Rhinolophus ferrumequinum: one gene and its partner. The protein of the gene in region 1 interacts with the protein of each later gene in a biochemical or structural test. Links are inferred from orthologs where the notes say so. Each region holds a gene or a part of one and is shown in the gene's direction. Other genes may lie near its edges.

Region 1 (8,381 bases):
ATTAATAATATTAAGTTCAAAAATACTATAGAATTGAAAATTGAAGTATTCCTTTTTTTTTGACCAAAAGGAAAATCATTAGATTACACTCAAGGATGGATAACTTTGTATTAGAACATAAAATAATTATGTGTTTAAGTCAGTGTCCTGCCTAACAAATCTAAATTTGAGCAATAGAGTATGAAAAAGACTAAGGTTGAGTAATTTCTCAAGAGGTGACAATAGGGTAATTCTAAAGTATAAAAAAAAAAGAATCTCAAGGGAAAAATGTAAAATCTGGAAATATTTTCAAACTGACTATTTTTTCAAAAACTTGAAATCATATTCTAAAAGTTAAAAAAATAGCGTATGGCTTCCCAATATTTATTCTGTACTGAAACAAATATTCCTGTTTTAAAATTAGACAACAAATGAGGAAAATGAGTGTATTCACACCTGCAGTTAATTGACAATGGGAAAGAGAAAGAACTCAAGGAATGATGGAGTGATCCATTTTCCCTTTTGTCATCTTCTCTCAGTCTGTAAAATCCCAAGGCACATCTGTTATTTTCCAAACTTTCTGGCCTAATTTTCCTGTCAGGGAGGAAATTGGGAATGAATGAATGAATGAATGAATCCATTATTCATATAGGACATTTTATTTTTTGCATACATTAAAATACAAATTATCCTTAACAAATTGTTAAGCACAATGGCTAACCCAAATGAGGGTCTGTATTTTGATGATGTCAATTACATATTATCTTGGAAACCCAGTGAGGTAAAAGGATTACAACCTGGATTCTGCTTCTGAGGATAATATACAAGGAATGAAGTAAGAAGCCATGAGAAGAGAATAACAAAAGCCATGAAAGGAAAGTACAAGACTCAACAGACCCCACTGAGCATGTTGAGTCCCCAGAAACCCAAGATGAGGGTAAGATACAAATGACAGCAAAAATAGCAGAAGAAAGTAATAAGTAAATTAATATGTAACAGAATTCTTCTGTAAGCTTTGTTCTTTTTTTTTTTTCTTTGCTCTCCAAGTTAATCGGTTTGATGAAAGACTCCTTAAGTAAAGTTTAGGTCATTTTTCCATTTTTCTATGTCAACAGTGCTTTTAGAGTTCAGCAAACATTTGCCTGGGGTTGAGATTAAATTGTAAAGACATCTCTTCCCTGCCCTTGTATTTAAATACATTTTACTCATCCTGTTGAATATAGGTGGAACTCTCTTTCTATTGGAAGACAAGTTCATTTTGTACTAAAGTTGATTAATAAGTTATTTCTTCCAGAGTTTTGATGTTTTGATAGGGTTAAGGCCTCCTTTCCTCAAAAAATAGAGAGTATAAGAGAAAAAATCCATTTTATTTTCAAAATAAAAAGTGAAAGAGAAATAAGCCAAGTCAAGGATCTGCCCATTTCCTCCTGCACATTTTTAAGTATGCCTGTTCATATCCTGCTGTCTTCCTGCCACTTTCCATTTGGCTATTCCATATCTATCCAAGCAGGGAGAGTAGAATTTCCTTGAATTGCTATGAGTCTACTTTGTAAATTTGAGTTGTTCTTTGCTGGCACAGTTCAAAAGCATGTTGATAAAATGAGTCAAGTTTACAAAATAATGAAGTTTTAGCTGACTGGTTTCCTAGTCTGAAAATTGGGAGGGTCACTTAACATTTCTGGCTTTAATTTCATAATCAAAGAGCAGCAATATAGTAACTATCTCCTAGTGTTTGACAACATTTTAACCAAAAAGTCACCTACAGCTTTCCATAAAGGGAGGAAAGCTTTCAAGAAAGGGAGGCTGTGTACATGCAGAATTAGTGTGCAAGGTGTGTATTGCTTTTATCAGATTCTGAAAAGAACCCATGAGCCAAAAAAAAAAAAGAAAAAAAGGTTTAAAAAAATAAAAGCTGCTCTCTGATCTCAAGGTGACAGAAGGAAGTATGAAAATTAACTCACACCAGAGGAGTTTCAAATCAACTTAGGGAGCAATATTTAAATGCAGCTGGTACAATGGGAGAACTATAAAGAGCAAACATATCAAAGACCTTTGTTTCGTGGTGCAGTCTGCAGGAGTCCAGAAAAATGGGGAGATGAATGAGCAAGAAACAGGGAAGGCTTCCTGGAAGAGGTGAGACTCCTCCCCCTGTTCTCCTATCTCAAGTGTCTTATCCAAGCGTGTTTGCGTTGGGCACTTAAAGAAGATGATTTTGTTTCTTCTCTAAAATGTTAGCCGTTCATATTATAAGGCAGAAATAGTGTACGAATATTTCTAACACTCTGTGCTAACAATTTTAACCATGCTCTTTTTAAAGCTGATAGATATAACCCTGATGATACTGCTGAACAATGATCAGTAAGTAGTGGTACTTAAATTTTCATTAGTGGTATCTCCACCCATTTTCCTGTAAATTGACCTTAAAAAAGGAAACTGGTTTCTGCCCACCACCCGCTGTCTCTGGACTTCAGTCTCCACAAGCTGTCGCCTTCAGTGAGTTCCAAAGGGACAGAGTGATTTTACCATTGCCTAAACAAAAACAGTTTTGTAGAATGCAAACGTTTGAAAAGAGAATCCATGCCCAAGTATTTGAGGAACTCCAATCGCTTTTGCACTCTCTGAAGTACTTCTTCTTTCCATAGCAGGAGTAATTGCAGTGACCACACCATGAAAATATAACTTTATCTTCTTTAGATGGTATTACTATATTGTCTGTCGTTATTGCATTTCCTGTTTCATCTTCCTGCTCAGGAACTTATGCACTTAGTTGCCTTTACAGAAAATGTTCTAACATATGTGATATTTGAAATAATTTTTTAAAGTAAAGTGATCATGCTCCAAAAACTAAAAATATAAACTTATTGGTGGATTATGAGTTATGGTTGGGAGCTTCAGCCCTTACTTGTTTTTTTCTTAGGCAAAACACATCTCTTAAATGTATGTTTTTGTGAGACTGCTGAATTTATGTCAGTGACAAGTAAAAATTACCTTAATCTGCATTTAGAAATAAGCAGAAATTGAAATGGAATTCAAGTGAAAGAATTGAACTTTGAAGTTCTCTTAACCAAAGACTTGTCCAGGTAGTTACATTGTTAATGGAAATTGCTAGATTTTCTCTGTCGTGTAATTTTTGTGCAACTTACTTATACAGAGTGAAAATTATAGAATAATGAAGAATTGGTAATTATTATGTAGTGCATGATGAAAATAGGTTGATAAACCTAGTAGTAAACAGTGACCGAGTGACAGAATTATTTCTACCTGCAAATCTGGCCTGGTGACCTGTTCCCATCTCACTAGTATGAGTCAACTGCTCCTCCTTTTAGAGCCCAGCACCCTGAAATCACTTAGGGAACTTTAAAAAATACTGATGCCAGGATCTCAAAACTAGAGATTATTATTTGATGGTCTGGAGTAAAGTCTGGGAACAGGGAATTTAGAAAACTTCAGATGATGTTCTTGCAGAGCCAGGTTGACAGCCCCAGCTATAGACCCTAAGATGTACTTTCATTGTGATCATCTCTATTCCAGCCAATAGTGAATAAGAGACATTCTGGTTAAACTAAAGAATACCTCCATTTTAAGGTCTTCTTCTGGCAATGTTTTACATCTACTAGCATGCCTGGTTCCCAGAGCTGTCTTGCCTTGAACTTTCTCCCTCACTCATTCATTGTACATGTGTTATGTGCCAAAGACTGTGCAATTTCAAGTGACTGACCACCCTCCCAGTTCCTGACTACTCCTCAAGCCCCAAACTGCTTTCAAATATCTACAAGTCTCAGGGCAGTGTCAGGATCTTTTCTATCCCTGAAACTTGCCCTTGCCCTGCCTTCTTGCCTCGTCCTGGCAATGATTCTATCCATATGTCTTGCTACACCTTGATTTTCAAAAACATTTTCACTTGAAGGAATACATAATAAGGAACATCTTTTTTAATAAAGGATTTTGTATTGTCATGGTAGTAAGTAGTATTAGCCAATTATCAAATGAAGAAATTAGGTGCCCCTCTACTAGATAAATTTGGTAGTATTTACAAGAAGATCTAAAAATTTGCAACCCCAAGTTAAGGAATCAGTTGACATTCCTTTGCAATAGGAAACAAAGATGATCTTCTGCCCTTGAAATTACTCTAGTATCAGACAATATATCAAAATAAAGGAGATAAATCCATGTACCAGAACACATTTAGATAGGTACAGTTGATTCGTGGGAAATCTGACTACTCAGGATCAAATGCCATGGCCTTAGCTCAAGAATATCTAGATTAACAGTATGAGGGATTGAGGCTAACAAAAAGTGCTAAAAAATTAACACACGAACCTAGATTGAAAGTACTTTATATTTTTAATGAAATGAATGTCATCTATGATAAGCTTGTGATTATTTCCATCTTTTAAATATTGGCTAGATTGGTTTAAATATATTTGGAATTGGTGATTAAAATAATCATGATCCTTTGGTTCTTTTAAGATTATAGTTGTTTTTAAGAAGCACTATATACTCAAAATAGAAAAGTCAAAAACTCAGCAAAGCACAAAACAAGAATTAGGTTTAATAATACTTCCACCCAAGTCAATCACTGTTAACATTTTGGAGTGGGCCCTTCATTCATAGCTAGATGACAGGTAGATGGTAGACATAGATAGATAGATGATAGATAGGTGATGATAGATAGATAGATAATAGATCCACAAATACAGACTTTATATAAAAAACAGGCTAATAATGTACACAGAATTTAATATTCAGACACATTAAAAAAATCTTGTGTCAACTTTCCGACTTCAAAACTTCACCTGTAGCTTTTCTCATATTATTAAAGTGTAATAACTCAATAAACCTGGCCAGTTATACAAATGTTCTGAGGGCTAAGATAAATAACATGCAAATAAACCTTACATATCAATGTGTGAAAAGCTGGACAGACCACACAGCTCAAAAAAGGAAGTACACTCTGCAAAGTTAACTTGCACATTCACTGTCCAAGTTACAGCATCTTCGGGGTCGCTCTGTGCCAAGCACATCAACTCTTTTCAATAAAAATGGTAAGTGATCGATTTTATGGCTCTCCCTGGTCTCCTGGAAAATATCTAATCTTCTCTCCATGGAGCAGAGGGGTGGGGGTGCTTTACAGCCAGGTCTTCAAGCCTTGGGAATTTTTGCCTGCCCCATTGTTGTTCCATTTGCTATTAAAGCTGCTGGGTTTTTATTATACCAGTTGAGAGACTGTGGCTTCAGGAGTTCCTTTTTCTGATTCTAGCCTTTAAAATAGAGGAAGAAATAGTGAATAAGAGAGATTCTGGTTAAACTAAAGAATGCCTCCATTTTAAGGTCTTCTTCTGGCAATATGCCCTACAGAAAGAAAACTTGTACTTTCTTGCCTTTGCCTCTTAAGATAGCTGGGTGCCATAGGGAGCAACGTATTGAAATTTCCTATTATGAACACTTTGGATCCTAGAGGAGAGCTCCAATGATATGCATCCGGTAATATTGTGATGATGAGTGCCATTTTGACCACACAGTAGATTTTTTAAAAAGGGAGCTCTTTTGTTTAAAAAATACGTTTTATTATTTTAATTAAGAGAAGCAAACAAAGCCCAAATAGTTCAAACCATAGGGACAGGTTTTCGTTCCCGAAGTTAATTAAAAGCCATTATTTAGAGCATACTTAAAGTTGTGCCTGGGTTCCCAGCTGTACCATAAAAACGAGCTTAACCTGTAATGTAGCTGAGCTACAGCATTAATATTCTGCTACATAGTTTCTTATTACTTCTCTGTAAAAATTGGCTGTGTTCTTAATACATGTGGTATACTTATGCTCCCAGTCTAGAAGAGAGCCAACTGTCCATCCCACACACACCCTTCCCCAGCCCCCAGAAACCTGGAGATTGGTTATTCCTTCTCTCATTATGGAGAGGATCACTTCCTTTGGCAGCTCCCAATGAGAAGATGTGAACTGAGACCATGACTCCTACTCAGGGGGAGGGATTGCACTGCAGGCATTGGAATAGAGAGGACAAAGCATTCATGGGTTGTGTTTGTAGGCTGGAAGCTCTTGAGCCAGATTGGGGAAGTGTAGAGGTGAGAGAGTGTCACCTTGCCATAGAAGAGAGAGTGAGGAGAAGGAAGAGAGACGGGGTCAGAGTTTCAGAGTCATAGGGGAGAAGAATGCATAGTGGTGAAGAAAATCGTAGCACATGACCCTCCCTAGCCATACCTGTAAGAGGAAGGCAGTCACTTATCAAGGTGGGGCTTACAAGTCTCTATTATTTCCAAACTGGGTCTTTAGGCCCAGGATTCTTAGAAAATAGCTTGACCTTAATTACTGATACCCTCTTCAATAATAAACAAGGTCTTTGTGGATTAAAAGAGTTATTTGGATTTTCTTGGGGCAAACAAGATGATAATAGCAGGTAGAAAAAAAGTTTAACTGGATAGTGTATGTTTGCTGTAATACATAAGCACTTTCTTATGTATAACATAATACATAATCGCTTTCTTAAGAGATTGTCACTTTCTTATTATAAAAAGAACACATTATTAAAGAAAATTTCTTAGAAATATAGATATGTAGAAATAAAACAATACAAATTTTCTATCACCTAGGGGACAATCATTGTTCAGTTAGTACCAGTTCTAGAATTTCGGCACTTTAAAATATATTTTACAAATATAATTTTCTATACTTTATAAACCATTTTCTTATCTGATTTTTTATTTAAATATTTTGAAAAATATCTGAGTTATATATTATTTCTAATGATAAATGATTTTTAATTGCAGTGTAGTATTCCATAATTTATTTTAATTGTTTCAATATATGTGGACATTTTGGCTTCTTATTTTATTTTTCCTCCTTCATGGTAATACAGACAAGAATGTCACAATCATTTTTTATATACATTGTCTGATTATTTTTCTTTTTTTCTGCCTTTTTAAAAGATTTTTATTAAAATATAGCTAACATACAATATTATATTAGTGAACTATGCAGTTATTACCACATTATTGGTTATATTCCCTATGCTAAAGAAGTGATCACCATTAGTCCAGGAACGATCTGACATTGTACCACACTAACACAATATTATTGACTATATTTCCTATTCTGTATATTACATCCCCAAGACTTATTTGTTTTACATCTGGAACTTTGAACCTCATTCTTCTTTATCTTCCCTCCCTTTTTTTTAATTTTTCAATTAGAGTTGACACCCAATATTATTTTATATTAGTTTCAAGTGTACAGCATAGTGGTTAGATATTTATATAATTTAGGAAGTGATCCCCCTGTCTAGTACCTACCTGTCCCTATAGTTATTACCATATTATTGATTATATTCCCTGTAGTTTACATCCCCATGACTATTTTGTAACTACTAATTTGTATTTCTTAATCTCTTCAACTTTTTCACCCTGCCCCTAACCCCTCTCATATCTATCACCCCGACTGATCTAGTACCCATCTGACACCATACATAGTTATTATGATATTATTTATTATATTCCTTACGCTATACCCTACACCCCTATGACTACTGTGTAACAACCAATTTGTACTTCTTAATCCTTTCCCCTTTTCACCTATCCCTAAGCCCCCTTCCATCTGGCAACCAATAAAATGTTCTCTATATCTATGAATTTGTTTCTGTTTTGTTTATTTATTTTGTTCTTCAGATTCCACTTGTAAGTAAAATCATATGACATTTGTCTTTTGCTGTCTGACTTACTACAGTCAGCACAATACCTTCTAAGTCCATCCATGTTATCGCAGATGGCAAGATTTCATTCCTTTTTTACAGCTGAGTAATATTCCATTGTATATATGTACCACCTCTTCTTTATTCATTCATTCATTCATTCAGGGACACCCAGGTTTCCTTCATATCTTGGCTATTGTAAATAACGCTGCAATGAACATATGGATGAGCACGTCACCTGGAAGTAGCATTTTGGGTTTGTTCAGATAAATACCCAGAAGTGGGATTACTAGGTCCTTCTTTGTCTCTTGTTATAGGCTTTGTTTTAAAGTGTGTATTGTCTGGTATAAGTATTGCTACCCCAGCTTTTGTTTGTTTGTTTGTTTCTTTGTCTCCATTTTCATGAAGTATCTTTTTTCATCCTTTTAGTTCCCATCTGTGTGTATCTTTCCATCTGAAGTGAGTCTCTTGTAGGCAGCATATGTAAGGGTCTTGTTTTCTTATCTATTCAGCTCCCCCACCTTTTGATTGGAGGATGTAATCTATAGACATTGAAAGCAATTGCTGATAGATATGTAGTTATTGCCATTTTATTATCCATATATATTTTTTTCATCTTAAAAAAGTCTCTCTAAGATTCCTTATAATACTGGTTTGGTGGTGATGAACTCCTTTAGCTTTTTCGTGTTTGGGAAACTCTTT
Region 2 (8,796 bases), on another chromosome or scaffold:
TTCTAATCAGATTATATCAGCTCCTTTAAATGTGAGTTTTCCTCCAAAGCATGTGTGCATGTGTGCCATACAGGCCAGACATTTCTGTCAGATTCTAAGTCACTGACCCTTCTCTCAACTTAATTCCCTTACCTCAACGCTGAATTCTAAGACCTGTAGAAAAAGGGAGGGAAAAGAAAGGGCAGAAATAAAGGAAGGGGCTTAGGGAGCTTAAACTTTTACCTTTGGAAAAACAGATGAAAGGAAACCAAAGAAAGCCATTTCAACCTTAGAAAATTGCTATCCTTCTATTATTTACCTTTAATCTCCTTAAGCACACCCAAAGAAATGGTTATTCCTTTTAGATAGTTTTCCAAAGTTATCATGTCTGCGAACATCTAGCCTATAAAATCCGCCTTGACCTCACCTGCTTCCTGTGCAGATTAACCCCATAGACGGCCCCACACCTCACTTGGAGTGCACAGCCTCATCTGGCTACAGCTGACACATTCTGCATGTCAACCCCTCCCCTTCAGATTCCCAAGAGAACCAATCAAAGGCGGAGAATGTCAGAGTCAGCAACCTCTTCCGTCTTCAGGGCCTCTGCTGGGCCCAGCAGTGCCCAAGGGGGATGTCTAATGTGGTCTAAGGGATAGGCAAAGAAGATACAAAAAAAAAAAAAGTGACTAAGGAATGCAGGGAAAAATAATAAGGGAACTGATAGAAAGATAAGATAAAGAACAAAGAAAGAGGTGTTACTCTTTAGATGGAGGGGGACCAACAGGATTGCTTCACAGAGCTGCTCAGTGATACCTGGGCTGTAATTATCCATCTCCGGTGTTCAGTTCTACAAGAGCTTTGGACCAGTGTTAGGGAACCAGGATTCTAATGCCAGTGCAGCCCCTGGTGAGCTGGGTGGCCCCCTGAGCAGAACACTGACTGGGTCTGTTCCTCATCTTGAATTTGATCACCTTGAAGATTTGAGTTTTAATAGTCCTTGTTCGGTTCTGAGCCTGTGCTTTATAGAGAACCTGCTTTGGGAATAGTCCTTAATATGATATGAGAACCTGCTCGTTTTGTTGTATTAGTGCAGAGAATCTAGGAGTGTGATCTGGAAGGGGGAGAACATCGAAGTGCATTTATGTGAGTGTATGCATAATAGGACCCTTTTAAGTTGAAAGTTTAGCTAATTAGTAAGAGCAAGGCTTCTGGCAAGCTGTGGAAACCTGCAATTTAAAGCCACTGAAGCGATGTGCCCAACTGAGCATCTTGCGTTCGTCTCCTCTCCCTCAGGTGGCATGAGGCCCGGTTTCTGAGGCCTTGCAGAGCTGCAGTGAGCCTGGTACTTGGCACTGGCAGGATGCATCATCTCTCTTTCCACAGCCCTTAATGAAGTGTGCAGCTCTTGTCCTCATTAGGCCCCAACATCGTCAATAAAAGAGTCAATAAACCCGGTTGATGGGGCTGGGACTGAGGGGCTGAGAGGCAGTGGCCGCACTTCCAAAGGGCAGACGTCAGCTCCACCGCATGTCGTGACCCAGCATCCAGGGATCAATAGCCAGCTCGGAATAAAGCCCAAGAGCCTGCCCGCTGCAGTCTCCTCTCCAGACCCATTTCGTCCAGGGCAGAGCAATGCCAGCCGGCCCCTGCTTTGCTTGCAGTTGTTCCCACCCCATGCCATTCTGGGTGCCAGATGCTTTTGTTGCTTCCTGATTAAGCCCTCTGGATACCCAATGGATGCATATTTAGTGAGTGCCCACCTGGCATGAGAACATGTCGATGGCAACTCCAAGCAGCCCAGAGGCTGGCATGGGCCCTGTTTTCTGTGTCTTCTGTCTGCTGACAGTGTGTGAGGGGCCCCGGGAGGCCAGGAGGTATATTTTCTGCATGTTGTGCTGCAGGACTCCATTCCTGCCTGCTTTGCATCTCTTTAGATACCCTTATCTTATCTAATTACAAGGAATTCCAGCTTAATTTCATGGCCTCTGCTCCAGAGGACCTCTTATCTGCGAGGGCCTTGTATTTTAACCTTGTCATTCATTTGTTGTTTGCCTTTAAGGGCCAGGCAGCTAAGAAGAGGATGCTAAGATGTTACTGGAATTGGGGCTGGGGGGAGGGGAAGAAGAGGGAGGCAGACAGACCTGGGATTTGTGTATTCTGCTCCATCCCCTTGCCTGTGTGCAGAGACAGCTGGCTGCTTACTTTCATGACAGCCACATGGTACCCAGCCACACAGAACAGGACCCGGGCAGGGACTCGTCTGCTGCCAACCTCTCCAGATCCCTTTGATATTTCCGACAGAGCACTAAAGGACTCTTGACTATCACGTTTTGCCTTGCCTCTTTCTACCTCCTCTAAGACTCCTCTGTGTGGTTTCCATGGCTACCCCCAATCAGATTTGGCTTCCTTCGAAATTGGATTTCAAAGAAAGACAAGGCTTCAAAGGAATTTGTCCATTTAACAGAATGTCATTAGGAGTGAGGCTGACTGCTGAACCAGGGTCCTCAGATGATTAAGGAGGGGTTGCGCTCATGTGTGGAGGCAGGTTTCTCTCTGCAATGAGGAACCTTGATGCAACATGACAATGCCGTATTGGAATCTGCCAGTCACCCACTGCACACTACCCAACACTGCACCTCCCTCTACCTCTAAAACCTAAAATGGATGTAGAATACCTGCTCCACAAGTTTATGCCGCATCCCTCAGTATAAGTAAGCTATGACAGGTAGTGAGGCCTAGGAGGTGTGCAATTACCTGGGTTTATTGCTCCTATCAAGCAACTCATTAGCTTGTAGCCTATTTTAGCATCTGACAAATATCCTTGAAGAAGAGGGGGAGGTTGTCAAAGTTCCTACTATTGCTGAGAGGGAAATCAAGGAAAAGTGCTGGGGTTACATATAGGAAGGACGTTGTTTCCCCTGCTGTGTTTTAGAATAGTTTTAGGTTTAGAGAAAAATTGCAACGATAGTCCAGGAAGTTCCAATATATCCTTTCTTGCTTTTTAAACACATGTCAGAAGTACTCAAAAATGATTCCAGAGCAGCTACAATTTTATAGCAGGAGCAGTGAGTGTGGTAAAAATGCCCCAGCAGGGACCTACCTGGTATTTGCTCTGAAGCCTGGAGGAGGCAGCCTTCCCATCGTTAACTTTCCCACAGCAAGAAGGAGGAATTGCAGGAGCTAGACTCCCGAGAGACTCCTACCAGCCTCTGTCCCTCTGCCCCCACCCCAATATGCTGCAACTTATGCGTGTGTCATGTGACCCTGAAACCAAGGCACCGCACCATATCTCTTCAGATCTCAGGGTGCAGACATGTAAAGATGGCTCAACGCCACTGCACCTGGTAAAGGATCCAGCCTCCAACCTCGAGACTTTATCTCTGGAGGGGAAACTATGCCAGGAAGCAGGCACTGCTACCATGTGTCCTTCTGGACAATTTCTCTTTGCTGCTCCTCTCCCATATCCAGCCTCCAACCTCGAGACTGTATCTCTGGAGGGGAAACTATGCCAGGAAGCAGGCACTGCTACCATGTGTCCTTCTGGACAATTTCTCTTTGCTGCTCCTCTCCCATATCCGTGGTTTCATTCATCATTCTTTCCCCTGAGGCTGCTGTAAAAACCACTTCACCCATCTTCCCTGTGTCCTCTCTCTTACCACTCCCAATCCTTCCCACATGTTCTGTATGTAGAGTCTGAGAACAGAAACTCCACTTTTCACAAAGAAGGAAAAAGATAGAGGTGAAGTGAGATGTGGGAGATCACACATGATACAGGGACTCAGGTTAGGGCGCTCCCTGGCTCAAAATTTGTCAGTGGCTCCCTAGTGCCCACTCAATTGATGTCAGTCAAAATCCTCATTCTGACTTCCAAGTCCCTTCACATTAGAGCTTCCATTTTTCTTGACAACTGTAATTTCCCTATACCATCCAGTAAAAGAGGGTTATTAACTGTTCCTCGAGCAGGAGGAGGCTTTTCCACCTTTACTTACTCTGGGTTCTTCCACCTGGAAAGTCTTTCTGCCTCTTCAAGTCTGTGGTGTTCAGAGCCCATCTCAAATGCCATTCAACACACATACACGACACTTCCCTTCTTTTCTTATATCCGACTCCCTCCTTTTATAGCCTGTGGCACTTTATACTTTTTGCATGGCACTTGGCCCATTGCACCTTTTAAAAAAATGAAGTCTATTTTGAGATAGCAGCATATTCACAGAACGTATGAGAAATGACACGGAGCCATCCTGTTTACCCAGTTTTGCCCAATGGTGACATCTTGCAATATTACAGTAGTATCACAACCAGGACATGGACACCTGCTCTGTGAATGAGGGAGAGAACCCTTATCTGTGATCTTGTCCTTCACTTTCCTCCCTTTGTCAGTTCTTAGAGGGAGGGGGCTCAGTTGCCCCTCCCTCAGCTTTCTCCCCAGGTCACCTCTTCTTTTCCTCACATCCTTTCAGCCTTAGAGAGGAAGCGAGACTTTGGTTTCCTGTGTCCATCGCGCTGATTCTCCCAAATGTTAGTGACTTTTAGTATTTCTTGGGATTTACGGTCATTCCCGTTAAACATCCTGATTTGCCTGAAACAGCGAATGTTCTGCGCTGGTTTCTGGGTGTGGATGTGCGAACTGGATCCGGAACTGAGTGCTGCTAGGCTTGGTGGGGACCTCGGATTCTGTGCCCCACGCCCCTTCTGGGGCACCACCGTGGCTTTCGCACCAGCCCCTTGAGGCCAGTTGTTCAGTGCTTAGGATGCGAAGTCTCCGAGAGACAAGGTTCCCTGGAGTCGCGTTTAGTCTTTTGTTTTGGTGGGAGGTCTAGAGCCGCACCGCTTGGGCCCTGCCTGGTGTGGCATCCCGCGATCTTTCTCCCTCCGGGCGCCTGCGGGAATGGCGTGTGCACGGCGAACAGGTGTCTCCCCGTCGCCCCCCACCCCCAGCCCCCGCCTGTCCCGGGTGCCCCCGCCCGCGAGCGCCACTTCCTGAGCGCAGCCCCGCCCTGCGGCGCAGCCCCGCGGCGTCCGCGGCGGCGGTGGCGACAGAGGTACAGGTGCCTTCGCCGTGCCGCCCACGCCTTGCCGTCGGTCCGCCGGCCTCTGCACCAGGCCTTCACGGCCGCTCTCCTGCCACACACTCGGCCTCCCCTCCGCCCCAGCAAATGCAGGCCGCCGTCGTCCTCCCCGAGGAGATCCGTTGGCTCCTGGCAGGTAACGCCCTGGCCCTCCGGGAAGTCCCTCCAGTGCTGAGCTGAGGGCAGGAAAGGAGACGCCAGCGCCTCCCAAGGCTGGGCTTTCTTTTCATCACTCACCACCTTCTAGAACCTCAAGGCTTTTAGAGTCCTCAACCCTGCAAAGCCAGATTTTCCTCCTCCTACCTCAGGGGCTCTTGCACTCCCCTCAGTTCCGCACTTTCTTTTTTCTCAAGGCGTCGCCACCGCTCCACTTAGCCTCCCAGGCTTCTGAACAACCGCAGGCCAGGTTCGTGGTCCCCGCTCCACGCCACCTGGCCTGACCTTTAATCTGTCTCTTTTTCCTTACGATGATTTCCTCAGGCCTGTCCGTTTGTACCCTCCTCCCTCCCCAATTCAGGACTCTCACCATCTCTCACAGAAGACCCTCACCCTCTTGCTTAGAGGTCCCTGAGGCCCTCAAGGGGATTGTGAGGGGCTCATGGGATCCTGTGGCCAAGGCTTGGGGGTTAATGAGTTTGTGTCAGCGCCAAAACCCCTGGCTTCCCTCTCTGCCAGCCTGCAGTCTTCTGGGGACTCATTATCCGCCCAGGGCAGGCTGACCCTCAGTATCCCATTTTTTCTTGTTCTAGAAGTGCCCCACTGGTGTGTTCACCTGCAAACTCAAGTGCCTAAGCGGGGAAGGCCATACTCACACTCAACACATCTTCCTAACACTCCAAAGAGACTTGTACTAATGGGCAATAGCATCTGCTCAGTTCACACTTTTTTTTTTTTTGGTGAAAGTAACCTGTTTTCCTGTAACTGACCTTCTTGAAAAGACAGAGGCCTGGAATCTGTGCTGCCATAAGGGTCCCGGGAGGAAAGTCAGAACTAAGCCTTTTGGCATGTCAGTGACATTTTTGACATGTATTTAACAGATGGCCTGCTTTGGGCAGGTCATACTTTTGGCAAGCAGTAATTTTTTCACTTTCTCTGGATTTAATTGGTTTTTGTACCTCCATTACTTTGTTATCTTGGTATAAATGCCTCCTAATCAAATATTTGGCAAGTCCTTTTAGTCTCTGTTTGCATCATTGTTTCCATTCAGGACTGTTTCTGTGTAAAAGCTGTCAACTAGATATTTATTTTGAGGTGAACTTTCCAAAATCTGTTTTACTTCTATGACCCGAGTAAATGTAAAATTTCAGAGCAGAAAAGTGTCTGCAGGTTAAAAGAATATCATTTGGGTATCTGAGAAGAAACCATCCAGCCTTCCCTCTGCTGTTGATTCAATATTCATTGTGTAGAGAGGCTGTTAAGTGTGGTTTCCCGGAAAGAAGGAACTGTGGCAAAAAGTTTAATTCTGCCCTTGCATTTAAAGATACAAAGTGATTCTTTTTATTGGTATCTGTCATTTGATGAGAGGAAACCTATTTTACAAGCTCGTTAAACTACACTTCTGTTTTGTGTGCAGCCTCCGTAGAAAATTCCTTTTTATTTTCAGAGACTTGCAATGAAATCCTCTCCTTCGACATTTTTGATGTGCAGTTCTTTATTGTTCAAAACTGACACTTTGGTAAACAACTCATTTCTGCACCTGCCACCTTCCTTTAGCTTAGATTATTTTCTTGTTAGCTGACTGGTTTTAATTGAAGTCTTCAGATCTCCTTCTAAAGCAGAACCTTTGTTTGCTGACAAGTAGAGCAGGGTATGAATGGAGATTAATCGTGTGTCACATACTTCTGTATCAAACTTGCTGTGTTTTAACAATCTCCGCTGGTGCTCTGGTCTTTAGAATATATGGAAGAGTCTGAGATTAAATTTTAAGGAACTTCATTAGTTAATGTATTTCTTGAAGGCCTTTAAAAAAAGTTTGCAATTAGAGTTTGAATCTGAAACAGAGAAAAAAATGTAAAGGTAGGATTCAACCAACAATTCTATTGAAAAATGTTTAAAAAATATGTTTCTGAAAGGTTCATGTAATCATAGCAACATATTGGTTATAGGCTTTGGTTTTTATGGAACACTGTCTCTGGCCTAGACCAGCAGAATTACTCATTGTACTACAAATTGTGGATATTAGAAACCCATAATTGCTTTCAATTTAGCGTATGTTGCTGTTTACTTGTTTCTCCCCTCACATACTTTTTAAGGTTGACTGTTGACAATTAGAAAATATGTAGGTCCTGATCTCTATATCATCACTCAGTGGAGGGAGTTACAGGGTGAGAGGGCTGTCACTTTAGTGCTGCCACATGGCCGTGGGGGTGGAGTTTCCACAATGAATTACTGTTTTCATAAACCAAGGCACAAGCATTTGCACAGTGATTTAATGTGGGCCATCACAGCCATAACTTAAGCATTTATTTAATTATAACTACATGGGCATAAGTGACGGGTGTTTTTGACATAATGGGTGTGCTTTAAACAATAAAATATGCAAAAATTTGTGAAAGGTTTATGCCAAAATTTTGTATAATGAAGAAGGGAGCAGAAATTCTGGTCTAAAATTAATTTTGTTTGAGGATAAAATTTTAGACATTTCAAAATATTTCATTCAACCCAGAAACTCCACTTCTAGGAATCTGTGTTACTGAAATTAAAGGACATGAAACATATATAAAGATCCGTCCTTAATATCCGTGAGTTGGGAAAGGTGGGGCAATGGTATGAATGAATTATTCATCTTAGGGAATATTTTGCAGCCATTAAAAAAGATGTGATGGTTATGGATGATGTGATACAGAATTGCACACCTGAAATCTATGTAATTTTACTAACAATTGTCACCCCAATAAATTAAAAAAAAAAGATGTGATGGATAGGCTTAGAAAATATCCATAACATATTTTTAAGACTAAAAAACAAGGTGTACGATAATATATATAACATCCCATTTTTGTCTGAAAAATGTTTGTGCAATCCTAGGAAGAAGAAAGAAAGAATATACACTAAGCTGTTAACATTGGTTTCCTTGGGAGGGGAGTGAGAGGGTGGAAGAGAGAGATTATTAACTATATTTCATATATCTTTGTGTTTTTTGAATTGTGACAATGGCCAAGTAATGATTTTGTAATCAGGAAAAAACAACCAGGAAGGTTATTTTAAAGAAAAAGGAACAAACAAAAGACAAATAGAAGCTTGGAGAGGTCAGAGTGCTAAAGGGCCATTAACCAAGATTGTGATTATATTTTTCTGTTGTTAGGCCTGGAGGTGTATGTGTGGAATTAAAAAAAAAAAATCCTTTCTTGGATTTTTGGCAAGTGTTAAAGCATTGAGAGACTACTAGTATAACTCAGGAAACAGCTTCCTCAGATAGACTGTCAAGCTCTCAAATAGAAATAGTAACTAGTCTGTATCAGCAAATAAGTACCTTATAGATAAGTAAAATGAAGGGCATTTACTGCATTATTGAAACAGGAGGAAATATTCAGGGCTGTTTTCAAATAATCAGGCTTCAGATGTAGAGGCTATCTTTTTGTTTTTGTTTTGTGATAACCATGATGAAAATAAAAACAATGGAGTGCTGGCAGTTTGCATAATCTTTGTTCCACAGATATAAACACAATCAGTTTCTTCCTTGTCTTTCTAGTCCTGCATTTGAAGTCAGAAGCACAGGAGACAAGTAGGAAGGAGGGAGAATAAATAT

Evidence for each region.
Region 2: the proteins of FYB1 (region 1) and SKAP1 form a complex in vitro, tested with the Homo sapiens proteins (2 studies listed by BioGRID and IntAct, with this or other methods). The link is inferred for Rhinolophus ferrumequinum from reciprocal best matches to the Homo sapiens genes FYB1 and SKAP1.

Annotation. Positions count from the first base shown.
Region 1 is NC_046290.1:26,059,156-26,067,536, reverse strand, and holds the start of FYB1 (FYN-binding protein 1), read left to right. Parts: upstream 1-4,923; 5' UTR 4,924-5,021; coding exon 5,022-5,024; intron 5,025-8,381. UniProt on the Homo sapiens protein: Acts as an adapter protein of the FYN and LCP2 signaling cascades in T-cells. May play a role in linking T-cell signaling to remodeling of the actin cytoskeleton. Modulates the expression of IL2. Involved in platelet activation.
Region 2 is NC_046304.1:34,608,889-34,617,684, forward strand, and holds the start of SKAP1 (src kinase-associated phosphoprotein 1), read left to right. Parts: upstream 1-5,005; 5' UTR 5,006-5,135; coding exon 5,136-5,184; intron 5,185-8,796. UniProt on the Homo sapiens protein: Positively regulates T-cell receptor signaling by enhancing the MAP kinase pathway. Required for optimal conjugation between T-cells and antigen-presenting cells by promoting the clustering of integrin ITGAL on the surface of T-cells.